Linked DNA regions of Arabidopsis thaliana. The protein of the gene in region 1 purifies or fractionates together with the protein of each later gene. This does not show direct contact. Each region holds a gene or a part of one and is shown in the gene's direction. Other genes may lie near its edges.

What was found. Proteins that work in one complex are often made in the same cells at the same time.
Region 2: the proteins of FMA (region 1) and ATBRXL2 purify together in Arabidopsis thaliana (affinity purification with mass spectrometry, with the first as the bait; one study listed by BioGRID). This does not show direct contact.

What each region holds. Positions count from the first base shown.
Region 1 is NC_003074.8:8,714,016-8,721,619, reverse strand, and holds FMA (basic helix-loop-helix (bHLH) DNA-binding superfamily protein), read left to right. Parts: upstream 1-3,408; 5' UTR 3,409-3,543; intron 3,544-3,787; 5' UTR 3,788-3,847; coding exon 3,848-3,865; intron 3,866-4,001; coding exon 4,002-4,667; intron 4,668-4,779; coding exon 4,780-5,214; intron 5,215-5,444; coding exon 5,445-5,530; coding exon of another isoform or gene 5,531-5,534; exon of another isoform or gene 5,535-6,055; coding exon 6,056-6,095; 3' UTR 6,096-6,502; downstream 6,503-7,604. UniProt on the Arabidopsis thaliana protein: Transcription activator. Together with MYB88 and MYB124, ensures that stomata contain just two guard cells (GCs) by enforcing a single symmetric precursor cell division before stomatal maturity. Together with SPCH and MUTE, regulates the stomata formation.
Region 2 is NC_003074.8:4,629,172-4,636,783, reverse strand, and holds ATBRXL2 (DZC (Disease resistance/zinc finger/chromosome condensation-like region) domain containing protein), read left to right. Parts: upstream 1-2,702; 5' UTR 2,703-3,303; intron 3,304-3,369; exon of another isoform or gene 3,370-3,397; 5' UTR 3,398-3,430; coding exon 3,431-3,568; intron 3,569-3,763; coding exon 3,764-4,143; intron 4,144-4,827; coding exon 4,828-4,963; intron 4,964-5,060; coding exon 5,061-5,452; intron 5,453-5,535; coding exon 5,536-5,614; 3' UTR 5,615-5,919; downstream 5,920-7,612. Other genes in the region: AT3G13990 (dentin sialophosphoprotein, putative (DUF1296)), read left to right, coding at 6,401-6,578, 6,948-6,991, 7,366-7,537.

The sequences.
Region 1 (7,604 bases):
ACTAAAAAAAATAAGCAGTTTTTCGTGATAGATATTAATCCAATTTTAATTGCTTGTTATATAAATTATCTTTTATAAATCTTTTTAAGAAACTTTGATATTTTCATATAATATAATTATAGTCAATCAAAATATGTATCAATTATTAGTTATAATGTATTTTGTACATAAAGAATGAAAGAAAGAAAATTAAAGTAAAAGTAACAAAGGGAAAAAGAAGGAGGAAAGGCGACAGAAAAAGTCGCTGGAAAAAAAACAATAAAAAGGTAATAAAAGCCAAAAGGCCAAGCGATTCACAGCCTTTTTGTTTTTAACATTTCTACTCTGAGAAAGTCGGTTACACTGTATATTACGCACATTAATACAATATATTTATTATATTAACAGGTATTTTTAAAATAAATAAATTTTTTTTATCAAAATATATATCCCTTAAGTTTGAAGTACAGTTTCTATGACATTTCAGTTTTATCCTAATTATTTTTTATGTATAGTAAAAATTTATATAGTATATTAATTAGAAGTAAAAACGGAAATTTTAATTAGTTTTAATGTAATAAAAAAGCGACACGTATAATATGTGATTCATATGTATAAGAAAAATCAATTAATTTTAAAAAATATTTTTTAAAAGTTAAGTTTTTGTTGGCACACAAAATTTAAATTAACAATCTCAATTAAAATTTCCGATACAAAATTGTAGAAAGCAAATTATTATTAGTAGTGAACTAGGTACCTGAAGCTTCCAAACTTCATGTATGATTCCAAACTGGTATAGAGTACTCGTATTATAATCTCACGCAGCTACCTCAAATTTTTCGTAATTCCTGAATATGCCTATAATAGTTTTACATTACGCGTTAAAGTTTACTATATGTGTTCTAAATAAAAGCTTTGAGTTCTCCTTTAGAGTCACTTACTAATATGTCAAGTAATTTATGTCTCTTATTTAAAATAGAAAATTATGACATACATAAAAAATGTAAACTGTTAAAAAAGAAAAAGAACGCAAGATTGAATCAATTTAGATTATTAAGAGAACAAAGCGGAAAGAAAACGATGAAATGCAAAAACAAAAAAAAAACATTTTTGTAAAGAGGAAGATAAGGTGTAATGGAGGGGTACGTTTCTCATTAACTTGGTAAAATATATGAGAGAGCAATTGTCATTGGCTTACTGAAAGCTTTTTTGTGCCATTTGACCTCATTTCTCTTAAATCTATAGAGTTACAACTTATAACTTACAAAACTGTTGACTTAGTTTTACTTGGATTCATCTAACAATATGCTTTTTTTAGATTCCTTAATAAAAAAGATTTGTATATCTTAAAGAAAAAAGTAGGCGAAAAACACTTTTTAAAGGAGTGAAATTAATTGAAAATTGGTAATGATATTGGTGGTGATAAAAGTTTGGAAATTGATTTTGGGATCACCATCACTAAGTGGTTTTACTAGTGAATTTTTAGTGTTAAATTTACTACTCAAAGAAAAATTTATTGATATGAGTGGGAAAAAAAAGTCCAAAACAAAAGTATGTATATGATATAGATATAATAAATATGTGTGTTTACTTGGTTTGAACTGCACTTGTATATTGACAATAAATTTATGGTATAAGAATGCAAATTTTTATGTTTTTTACTTTTTTTTATGATAAAAAAGAATGTAAATTATTCTTTTGGAATTAAAAAAGAATTGAGTATATCAATCAGTCTCTTCGCTCGCTATCATTGAAGTTTGATCTTAAAATCTATATATCTTACAGTATTTCGATGCTTGTGGCCTGTGGGTGTTATGTATCGTAATAGTTGTTTTGTTGGCTCAATTGGGAATGGTTGCAGCAAGTATTTTTTTTGGTTGATGCTTCGATGCAAGCTCTTTCATGTTTCTTTTTTTCTTTTCAACATAGTATTTGTGTAATATGCACCTACTAAAATACTCCTATGGATCCGCGACTCTTATTCCCGAAAAAGTTCACTGGATTGATCAACGTGAATTTTTACTCCACTTTTTGTTAAAAGTTAAAACGTAACCATCCACACCAGTGTCTTTTTCTTTAAATGTATATGTCTCCACGTACACACACAAATAGTATAGGTCATGTTCGTGAAACTAATTTCATATATTTGACCAGAATATTTTTATTAGAAATCATATTTTATTGACAACACATAACTAATATAAGTGCTTGAATTTGAAATACTATAGAAATAAACTAAAAGATGAGAAGCGTATAGAGATTTGATTAAGTTCACGAAAAGCGGTGGAAAAAGAGCGGCCTTGGCTTGTGAACTCTAAAAACTCAAATCTTATCATTTATGGTTTGACAAACAAAAAAAAAAGATAGATAGATAGAGAGGTGATCAGCTGATACACGTGTGTTTTCACGTTACTTCTTTTTTCGTATTTTGTGGCTCCTCACCCTTACGTCTAACGCAAAAAGAAATAGAGTATTTATTACAAAAACAAGATATGATTTGGAATATTCAATAATCTTTCTTTTGAGTCAATATTGAACTTAATTTTTGTTCAAAATAAGCTAGGGAGTTGCTCTAGATCCCCCATTTCAAATTTGACCGTAAAATTTGGATTGTTATGTGTTTCTATGTAGAAGATAGAGAAGAACTAGATAACTATATATGTAATGATATTTATATATCAAATGGGATGAAAATTAATATTGACACATTATGTGCATAATACAAAGGGATTGATTGAATGAGCATCTTTTGATTAGCCAATCATGATTTTCTGCAAAAGCATTTGGGGAGACATTGAGAACTTCCGACTGCACGGCTTTATCCTGCTACAATTGGAAGCTTTTTTTACTAAGCATTAAGTATCTCTAACAATTATAAGAGGGCAATAATAACATCCCTTTTTCTTTCTTACAAAGCAATAAAAAAGGACAATAGTAACGAAAATTCATTTTTCCCACGATTGATATCTTTTGGTTGTAGTTTTTAGATTTTCTAAAACATTTTATGTGATGGTTGATATTTCTCTACTTTTAGAAACTAAAAGAGAATGCATAGAAAATTGCGAAAAACAATGATGTCTCGATAATTAATGGGAATATGATAGTAGAATAAAACAGCCACTGCAATCAAACTACTTACTACTAATCCTCAATATTTTAGATTAACTTATGTAGATTTTCATTTATCTTTATTCTTTAGAAAATTGTTTTTTTTTTTTTTGAAACATGTTTACGTATCTTTTTTTAAGTCGTTTAATTTGTTTTTATTGGGTCACGAATGTGTACCATTCACACCCTAATTAGTAATTAGAGAAACAAATGATTACGAATATACATACTTAAGAAATTTAATGCCCCCTTGCTATACCTTGTGTACACATGTATAATGTATCTCTCTCTATAAATATGGGAGCTTGGTGATGCTTACTCATTTATGACTTCTCAATACAAAAAGCTCCCCTCACTTTTTTAAGTTTTGTCTTCTCTAATCCGTCTTCTTCTACTATCTTGCATGTCTTGCGTCTTTTATATACATCTCTCGTAAACCCTAGCAAATCATACAAGGTCAGTCCCTTTTATTTTGTTAACTCCTTACTAAACAAAGCTCTAATATATTTGGTGTTAATCATTTTTTTTAATTGTCAAAATTCAATTTGAAAACTTGTTTTGTACATATAAAATACATGTATATGTATATGGTGAAACATGTAATCTGCCTAGGTTTGGTTTTAACTTGTTCTACGTGTGTTTTTGTTTCATGTATATGTTTTTAAAACTGACTGTGAAGCTCATGGATTGTTGTCATCAGGTCAAGAAGCTTGACCTTCATTAGACTTAAGCAGTTTATAATCAACTACCACGAATAGCAATGGATAAAGATTACTCGGTACGTACGTTTTTTTTTCCAGTATTTCAAGATCCTTAATCTCTTTTCTTATACAAATTGATAGATATCTATGTATAAGATTCAAATCTTCCTGCTTATGATATTAACTTCATTCTCCAATTCTGGTTTTTATTAGGCACCAAACTTCTTAGGTGAATCCTCAGGCGGTAACGATGATAACAGCTCTGGTATGATAGACTATATGTTCAATAGAAACCTTCAACAACAACAAAAGCAATCGATGCCACAACAGCAGCAACATCAACTCTCTCCTTCCGGATTTGGAGCAACACCTTTTGATAAAATGAACTTCTCTGATGTGATGCAGTTTGCGGACTTCGGTTCGAAACTTGCGTTGAACCAGACCAGAAACCAAGACGATCAAGAAACCGGGATTGACCCCGTTTATTTCTTGAAGTTCCCTGTCTTGAACGACAAAATAGAGGACCATAACCAAACCCAACATCTCATGCCTTCTCATCAGACGTCTCAAGAAGGAGGTGAGTGTGGAGGAAACATAGGCAATGTGTTTCTTGAAGAAAAAGAAGATCAAGACGATGACAACGACAACAACTCCGTGCAACTACGTTTTATTGGAGGAGAAGAAGAAGATAGGGAGAACAAGAATGTTACGAAAAAGGAGGTGAAGAGCAAGAGGAAGAGAGCTAGAACGAGCAAGACCAGCGAAGAAGTGGAAAGCCAACGGATGACTCATATCGCGGTCGAAAGAAACCGTAGGAAGCAAATGAATGAGCATCTTCGTGTCCTTAGATCTCTCATGCCTGGCTCCTACGTTCAAAGGGTATGATATTCATAAATTATATCTTAAAGAAAGAATTTTCGTGAATGTTTTTTTATATGTATATGTACAACTAATTATACTGTCTACACCAAATATTAATTGTATAAAATAGGGAGACCAAGCGTCAATCATAGGAGGAGCAATAGAGTTTGTGAGAGAGCTCGAGCAACTCCTACAATGTCTTGAATCACAGAAGCGTCGAAGAATCTTAGGAGAAACCGGTAGGGACATGACAACGACAACGACTTCTTCTTCTTCTCCCATAACTACGGTAGCGAACCAAGCACAACCGCTCATTATTACGGGAAATGTAACCGAGCTAGAGGGCGGAGGAGGGCTTCGGGAGGAGACTGCGGAGAACAAGTCGTGCTTGGCTGACGTGGAGGTGAAGCTGCTAGGGTTTGACGCCATGATCAAGATACTTTCAAGAAGAAGGCCGGGACAGCTGATTAAGACTATAGCTGCTTTGGAGGATCTTCATCTCTCTATTCTTCACACTAACATCACTACCATGGAACAAACCGTCCTCTACTCCTTTAATGTCAAGGCAAGTTTATATGTTAAAAAGTAATTCATCATTCATATTCAGCTTTCATATGCAAAATCTAGACTCATCAAATAATACATGTAATTATCTAATCTGGATTAGCTGTCATAAAACACATTTATAATTTTATTTAGGGTTTTCAATATAATCATAGATTATGGATTTGTATTGTTAAAGTATATGTAATAACTATCAATGGCTAACATGAGGTAGATGTAAAATATGTGCAGATAACAAGTGAAACGAGGTTTACGGCAGAAGACATAGCAAGTTCCATCCAACAGATATTTAGTTTCATTCATGCAAATACCAACATGTAAGGATATATATTTTTCTGCTATTTAAATATTCTTTCGATTAAAGATACTTTTGATAAGTTTCTGTTGGTCCCTTAAAACAAAAGTTTATGTTGGTTCATTGTTATCCATTTCACATGCCTTTTGTGTTTTGTTTGTTTTTACCTTTTAGATGTCATGATTATATCTTTTTGTGTGCAATGTGGTCTATCTAATCATCAAGACATCATTACTATGTGTGTGTGTGACTCTGTGAGTGTGTGAGTATATGAGTCTGGTAAAAAGTCTTAGAGTAAAAGATATTGGTGGTTCGATGTTATACATTTTACTATTTTAGATGTCTAGCTTTTGTCTTTTGTTTGTTCTTTTACCTTTTAGATGTTATGATTATTTGCTTTTAATGTTAGATATATATGGTGTATCTAATCTATCATGGTTATTTTCTTTGTGTGTTACATATGGTGTGTATATATATATATATATATATTGTAACATATTTATCACAATATTTGAAGTGTTAAAGCTTGGAAACAATTTTATTTCAGATCTGGAAGCTCTAACCTGGGAAATATTGTGTTTACTTGAAAATCATCACACGGCGACAACTTTGTACACTGGTGAAGATTACAGTACGTAATAATCTCTACATATTGGGTTTTATTCTCCAAGCATTTGGAAGAGTGTTTAAGTTAAAGGGAGTGCTTACTTTATTTTTTTGGGGCTTTTTTCATGCAATTTAAATTTTAGTGATGATTGTGTCGCTTGTAATGTTAGAACTCGTTGTTGTGATTTCTGCTGCTTTGATTTGTAGGTTTTGAACAAGCGGTTTAGAATGCTAAACCACTTATTTACTTGAAATAACTTTTTTCACAAAATAAAAAAGAAAAGAAAAAAACAATGCATGAAAACTTTTCTTGAGGGGAGGGAGAGGAACTATCATTTTCTTGAGATTTGTCTATGAGAAATGGGCCAATATATATACAACAAGAAAACATGAAGAAAAAAAAGGTTAGAAATAGCCAGTTTTAATCTTCAAAAAATTGACCATTCGGTTAAACAAAGTGACGCTTTTACACTTTTTCAAAAGTGATTTGACTAAAGAAACTAAGTGTCAGAATTCAGAAAAACAAATTCATTTAGGAGACTCAAAATGATTGTCTTTAATCTTTCTCTCGTACGTCAACAAAGACGAAACTCTTGTCTTCATCTTCTTTATATATTCACCATTAGCTCTAATCCAAGTCAGATCCGACACATACACAATAAATTCCAAAAGCACTGCTTGGTTTTCTTCTCACACCAAGTAGGTTCGTACGGGGGTAAGATCTTGACAGAGTCCAAGGCCAGAGAATTCCAATTCCAAATCCGTCCAAGACTTGAAGATCCTTTGTTATATAGCTTATATTAATTCATCGAAGGTAAGCAAAAAAGATTCGTGTTTGTCAATCGTATTATTGTGTTAAATGGTAAGATAATCATTGTAATTACTTTTGAAAATGGAGAGAGTTGATCTAGATTTCTGATTACTTTTTTCTTTTGTCGTGAGTTGATTTAGAATTCAATGTTTGTACATAGAATTTGTTTTCTCTTTTTACAGTCTAAGAGCACTTTAACAAGAAATGGGATCACTACACAGTCTTTGTTTTCAAAAGGTATGTGAAAATATGGCAAGACAGATACATGAGGACCACTGGTGATTACTCCTAATCGATTTTTCTTGGGGCTAAAAAGTGTAAGCACGTGTATAAGTACTCTCTCGATATTTGATACTTGAAACGTGCCTGATCAGTGATCACTAGATGTCAACAAGAAAATGAAAATAAACATATCTTTTTTTTTTGCCATCCTAGAATGGCCTTCAAATAAATGGTTGGAGTTTGAGACTTTTCTCATCTCTATTCAAAAAGCGGTAAATATTTAGAGGGTGACAGTTTGTATATAGAATTCTATTTTTCTTTTGAAAATAACACGTCATATTTTTCTGAGGATGCAAAATTGTAATTATTTTTTTGAAAATTTTTGTGAAATAAAATTTAAAGGAATAGTAGTATTATTAAAACAAAACAAAAAATTGATAAAGGGTTAGTGTATTGT
Region 2 (7,612 bases), 4.1 Mb from region 1:
GATACAATCATCTGCAATCATGAAATAGGATCTCCAACGTATTCGAGCTAGAGCTAGGTATTCCAGTAAAACAAACCCTAAATCATCAAATTCCCAATAACGCGGAAGAATAAAGAAGCAATGAAGATAAACTAAAAATCCAGATATAAGAATCGAAGAAGAGGATATTTACCTCAGAAAGCTAACCCGATCAGAAACCAAAACGCCTCTGCAACACCGATTAAAGAAATGCTTCCGAAAGGAGAGGGACGAGCTCGATTAGTTTCCAACGCAGCGAGTTAGGGTTTCGGAGAGAGCTAGGGTTTACGAGGAGAGAGTGACGGTAAACGATTCACCATGAATCTAAAGAGCGAAAGATAATCGGAGAGAGTGATCGGAGCTGAGCTAACTCTTTGATTTTCCGCAGGAAGCAAAATCATGAAAGGAAAGAACAGCTAGCTACACGAAACAGATCGTTGTGTAGAGTACCAATCACCTACGGGCAAGTGCATGGTACAACTATATTTGGGCCTTAATGGGCTCAACATGGGCTATAAACTGAGTTTGAGAAACTTTATAGGCCTCAACTTTTGAATGTCAAGCTTTTATGTTTTCTTTTTCTGTCTTTTCTTTCTTTTCTTTGATCGATCATTTTACCTTAGCCATTAAGAACTTCTAAATCTTTTAACACACATAAAACATAAAGGATCAAGCCTTCGATTGTAATTTACCTTTATTTCATTTGTGGAAAGAAATCAGCAAGAATAAAGAGTTTTTGTAAAAGCAAGTAACCTGAAGCAAAGGATACTTCAAATTCGAAATGAACTTTTAAAAGGGTATGGTTTGCTTAATGATGGGGATAATGTTAACTTGACTTTCAAAATGGGTTATAATGAAAGTGCTTAAGCCTTGAAGGAGACAGAAAAGGTTGGGGGAAAAAGCATTAATAGGCTTAGTTGGAAAAACAACTCTATAAAGTTTAAATGATTATTTAATAATAACAAGCTTGAATCTAAATATTACATGCTTCATTTGCATGTCTCATCATCACTTGTTTTTATTTTTGATAAAATCACTTTATACCTTTTTTCAGTTTCTAAGGTGCAATATGCTATTTGTCACCATAAAGCTAGGCATAAATACTAATGATCATAATTGATCAAATTAAATATATAATCAGAAAAGCATCACTAGAAAAATACTCCAAAATTACTTAAACATGGATTAGTTGGAGAATTCTGAAATATTATTAAAATGATGAAATACAAAAAAACTGGTGTGGCCAATAAAAAGTATAAGAGTTACATGTATGAAACATTACACTTTTCAAAGTTGTACCTCTCTAATTAGCAATGGAACATACACTTTTTTTTTTTTTTTTTGACAACTTAGTGTCCAGACCACACAGTGATCTGACTAGTCCACTGGGTTTAAGCCCGCGACCAGGAATTTTTAAACATCTACTTAATGGCTCCCTGGAACTGGTGGTCTGAGGCGCTAGAGCAAATCCGCATGTTAATTCTCTGGTGACCAGAAATCGAATCCGGGTGTCGGACGTCTCAGTCGAGGTTCCTTTACCACCAGACCACGATACCTGGTTGGAACATACACTTGAAAAAGATAAGACAGAAATCTTAAGACTATACGAGTATTATGTTCAATTTAACATGGGGTGAAAGAGAGATCATCATAAAGTATTATTTGTAACGGATAGGTCATAGTTATAGCTATAAGATACGAGCTAACATTAAAATGGAAAGAGAAAGAACAATATCAAACAAGAAAACACAGATCATTCACGTGGTATGGTAAAAATTAAATTAATTTATATTTTGCAGTATCGGATCTGATCATTCATTGCTATAAAAACTGTTTTCTTTTGTCCTAATTTAAAAAAATGTTTCAGCTGTATTAGTGAAAAAAATAGAGAAAGCAAGCCAAAAAAAAAACTAAAAACATTAACTACGAATTGTAAAATAGTGTATGGTAAGAAACTCCACAGAGTGTAGTTAATTCTCGCCCGTTGCTTCACGGCGCTCCTGTGACCAAATCTGACATTATATAGACTCGTAAATATTCCTTTTTAGGTTTTTGCATTCATATTTGAATGCAGTTGATTTAAAATAATTTAAACGACTAGTTGCCTCTAAATGTTTGAATAAATTAGGAGTAATTACCAACTAGTAACATTCTGTCACATTTCCCAGAGTCACTGTCTTAAATTATGAAATACTCGTTATTGAGAAAATTGACAGATAACAAAATGGATTAGTTATTTGGTTTCCTTTTTCTTTTCCTTTATTTGGGTGCAAAATTAGACAGCCAAAATCATTTAAAAATGCACGTGTCAATATGTGGCCACACCATGGATATTTTGCACGGCTTCATTATTTCTATGAAAATAGTTTTATTTGTTCTTTTTTTTAAAAAAAAGCAAGAAAAGGGAAAAGAGAATAAAGAAAAAAAACTAGGAAATAAAGAAGAGAATAACATTTGAAATTTTCTTGGTCCGATTTCTTCACTCTCAAAGCAGTAAAATTGAAGAATATACTACTAGTTATGTTAGCAAATGAAATACAAGACGATTCAAAACTAAGTAATTTAATATAAATAATAAATCAAAAGTTGACAAAATGCGGATATTAAAAAATAGCAATAAAGCTGTAGAACTATTCAATTGGTTAATCTATGTTAGTAAAAACTGTGTTACGTTTTTGTTTTTTTTTGGTTTTGGTCATAATAATCCATAAGTATCAAACTTAAAGACGAATCTGAAAATAGCCATTACTGTTTTTTTTTCTCTGAAGAAAAAGAAAAGAGTAGAGCTTTTTTGTTTAATATAGGAATTAGGAAGGAGGAGGAACACAACACCACACTTGTGCGCAAACTTTCACAGTGTCCGACGATCTCAAAGCCCAAATATCAAAGCTCTTCTCTCTCTCTATCTCTCCCCAAAAATTCGTAGCTTTTTTGCATTTTGCTTCTGCATTCGGCTTTGGATTTCATAAAGTGTTGAGATTTAAGAGTGTATCTCACTCAATCTCTCTGATAAGAGCTTTCAAGCCACAAGTAAACCGACCCAGAGAGTTTAAAAAAAAAGAAGAGTCTTTAATGCGAAGTCGTTTCTAGGTCTGATCTACAGATCCTGGTACCCTAATTTTCCCCTGCCGCAACGGTCTCCTCCTTCCCTTCGCCGTCATTTCACCGGTGGGGTTTTACATCTGAATCTCTGTGGTTGAGAGAAAAGCAATCGACTTTAGTGAGTGTTGAGTTTATATATTGGAAGGTAGAAGTTGAAGTGCGTAACTACTGTTGCAAAAAAAGGTACAAATTATGAGCCTTTTTGGGTTCTCATTTCTTAGATTTGATTATTTTTGGTGGAGGAAGTGACTTGGGTTTCATTCTTCTAAATTCTCAGGTCGAAATTGAAACTCTTTAGTGAGTGATAGAGATGCTGACATGCATAGCTTGTACGAAGCAGCTAAACACCAACAATGGTGGATCTAAGAAACAAGAAGAGGATGAAGAAGAAGAAGACAGAGTTATTGAAACACCCAGGTCTAAGCAGATTAAGTCCCTGACGTCACAGGTAGAGATAAACATTCTTCCTCTGTGTCACTTTCACGAAAAAAAAACACAAATGAGAAAAGGACCATTTTTTGCTCTTGTTGGTTTCTGTTTGGAAGCTAAGAACAAATCAATTTAAGTCCGTGACTTTCAGAATGTTTTTCACTGTGTATTTAATTTTGTGAATAACATGTGATTCTTGTATGTGAATCTTCAGATTAAAGACATGGCAGTAAAAGCATCAGGTGCTTACAAAAGCTGCAAACCGTGTTCTGGGTCGTCTAATCAGAATAAGAACCGAAGCTACGCTGATTCGGATGTTGCTTCGAATTCTGGGAGGTTTCGTTATGCGTACAAGAGAGCGGGGAGTGGAAGCTCAACACCGAAGATTTTGGGGAAGGAAATGGAGTCAAGGTTGAAAGGTTTTTTGAGTGGAGAAGGAACACCTGAATCCATGAGTGGTAGGACAGAGTCTACAGTGTTCATGGAGGAAGAAGATGAGCTCAAGGAATGGGTTGCTCAAGTGGAGCCTGGTGTCCTCATCACATTTGTATCATTGCCTGAGGGAGGGAATGATATGAAGCGGATTCGGTTCAGGTAATTTTTAACTGTTTTGTAGGATTTACACTAAGTAAAAGTTTGGATATTGGACTTAATCAAGATGGTACAATATGTTTCCAATCAGGAATATTGAAGATGATACTCAAATGAACTAATCCATACTGTTTTGAAATTGTTTAATTTGATTTTGGAAGTAGAGATGTGTGGTTCTTGGAGACAAGCAATGTGAGAGTACAGTTGATATTTAGGATATTATTATGTGAGATTTCTGTGTTGGAAACTGTTGCTGCTTTCATTTTTCTTGAATCGATTGAAGTGGTCCCAAACCATTTCTTATAATTATGAGAACTTGTACATCCTTTTTGCCAAGAAAGGTCTTTGAGATGTGGGTTATATTTCGGTAGTTGAATCCGATGGAGAACTTAAATGAATTCCCCAAGGACAATTGTGTGGGGAAGTGTTTGTGAATTTCGTAAAGTTCTTTTTGTATGTGGAACATATAATGAGAGCAAGATGATCTAACTAACTTTCTTCATGGCAAGAGGAACACTTCAGCTCCCTAGGATTGATATTTCTAGATTCTAGTTTTGACAATTTACTGCAGATCCCTTGAGTTTTGTGAACCTAAGACTGTTAACCTGGTAGCTCTTTGGTTCTGTATTGTATATGGTTAAGTCAGCTCCTAATTTGTTGATTTCTTCAAATTTGTATTACTTGCAGCCGTGAAATGTTCGATAAATGGCAAGCTCAAAAGTGGTGGGCGGAGAATTTCGACAAGGTCATGGAATTATACAATGTACAGCAGTTCAATCAGCAGAGCGTCCCACTTCCAACTCCTCCTAGATCTGAAGATGGGGTATATGCACCCTCTTCACTTCTGAACACATGAATCTACTCATCAAAACCTGTCTTTGATACTTTGAGGTCTAACTAGTTTTAATTTGGTATACCAGAGCTCGCGAATTCAGTCTACCAAGAATGGTCCTGCAACTCCACCTCTGAACAAAGAATGCTCTCGAGGAAAAGGCTACGCTTCTTCTGGCTCACTCGCTCACCAACCAACAACCCAAACACAAAGTCGACACCATGATTCATCTGGTCTTGCTACAACACCAAAACTCTCTAGCATAAGTGGGACAAAAACCGAGACATCATCTGTTGATGAGTCTGCAAGAAGTAGCTTCTCAAGGGAAGAAGAAGAAGCAGATCATTCAGGGGAGGAGCTATCTGTAAGTAATGCAAGTGACATTGAAACAGAATGGGTGGAACAGGACGAAGCAGGTGTTTACATCACAATCAGAGCTTTACCAGATGGGACTCGCGAGCTTAGGCGTGTTCGCTTCAGGTAAAGATACATTACTTTCTCTGTTCCTTAGTAAAACCCTTTCAAAAGCAAGCACTTTAACAACATTGTCTTTGTGGTTGTAGCCGAGAGAAGTTTGGGGAAACGAATGCAAGATTGTGGTGGGAGCAGAACAGAGCTCGGATACAACAACAATACTTGTGATGACCGATGACGGTCGAAGGCTCTCTAGAGAAGAATCTGACACACACCAAAACAAAACACTTTTCTTTTATATGTTTTACTTGGAAAAAAGCTACAGAGTGATGGAAATAACTTGGGATTCAGATAATGAATGTGCTTTTTAGTTGGTGGTTGTTAGTACATCTCTTTCTCTTCTTTCTCATCTACATCTATCTATAAAGAGGAGGTATTAGTTTTACTGGATTTTCTTGGTGTTATTTTCTTAAGGTAATGTACTGTATATAGTTTAATACTAAGAAAATTCATATTATTGGATTTGAAAATTACACTTTGTGCACTTTATTACTTTTTCTCTAATTATATTGACCATGATTGGTGCTAATAATTATGGCATGTACTTAAATGTTCTGAATAAGAAATGTATAAAGTAAAAACCAGTTAAATTGCCAGCTAACTTGTATCTCCTTAGAAATTTCCATTTCTCACTTCTCCTTTGACTAATCTTTCTATTGAGTTATATTAAGGGTAAAATAGTCAATTAGGTTTATCCAATTAGTGAATTTGGAACCAATTTTTTCGACGCGTGAGAATAAATCCTAACTTCTTTTTTTTTTTTGTTCTCTTAAAGCCGTTCCCTCTTCTCTGTACTCGAAACCCTAGTAGTTGCTCTATCCGATTTTAGGGTTTAAGAGTCGAATCATTAGCATCTACCTTGATTACGCTGATCTCACTTGGTTTCGCTACTCGATCCTTGAATTTCTTTGTTTTTTGTGTGTTTCGGTTTATTCGATACGTCTTTGATCCGTAATGGTGACTGGGTCCAGAACTAGCGGTAATCGTGGGGTAGGACTCGATGATGAAGCGAAAAAGATGATTCAATCGATTAAGGAAGTTGTGGATAGTCACTCCGATGCTGATATTTACACTGCCTTAAAAGAAGCTAACATGGATGCTAACGAGGCTGTGGAGAAGCTGATTCATCAAGGTTTCTTCTCTCTTCATCTCTTTTTCTGCTTTCCTAGTTTGACGGAAGTTAGGGTTTTACTGTTTGTTCTCTGGTCCGCATTATCTTGATCACGATGAATGCTACAACATCTTGTTTGAGGCGTATGTAGAATGCTGTAGATAGGTTATGCAAATTTCGTTTGATGGAGTTCTGTTGATAATTCGATAGATGGATAACTCTTGTTTTCATTTCGATAATTTGTCAATTCTCTTCAGAATACTTCAATTACTATATACTTGAAATATTATTGGTCTTCTTTTCTTGGCTCTCGTTTCGTTGGGTGACTAATATGTGTGTTATTGTTGCCATCATAGTTTTGGTTCGCTAAAAAGCTTTTGTTTTGTTCAGATCCATTTCACGAGGTGAAGAGAAAAAGAGACAGGAAAAAAGAGGTGAGGTTACATATAACTGTTATGGTATCTTGTTCCCAGTTCTTCTCCTTTTTAACATTTTTGCCAATGCAACCACATTGTAGTTTTTTTGTTTGACTCTCCTTAGTCTTTTCGAAACTGCATTTGAAGAAGGTGACTAGATTTTTCATAATGTTAGTTGTGCTTGTGTGACTATTATATCTCATCGGATGTCTGCTGTGGCAAGCTATATTTTTTTTTTGTTTTGTTTAGTATTTTGTGTGCCTTCTAATTTAATTGATCGTCAAAAAAAATTTCAACTTTTCTAGCCATTCAAATAGTTTGATGAATTTGTAGAGATCATCAAGACACCTCTTGTATAACCTCTGATTTTTAGGGCGTTCCTTTGGTTTCAGGATACAGTATTTGTTGAGCCTGCCAACATAAAGAAACCTCTTGAAAATGTTACCAGTGAAGTGAAAGTTCGTACACAGCCTGAACATAATGTTCGGAGAGGAGGCTACAGTAGGAATTTCTTCCCCAGGAACGCTGCTCAACGAAATGCATCTCCTAGAAATCCTGCTACTGGTAAATCAATTTGATGATGATATACTTGCCAGTTTCTTTCGCATGCTTGTACAGTTGTACTAAAAATCTTTAATT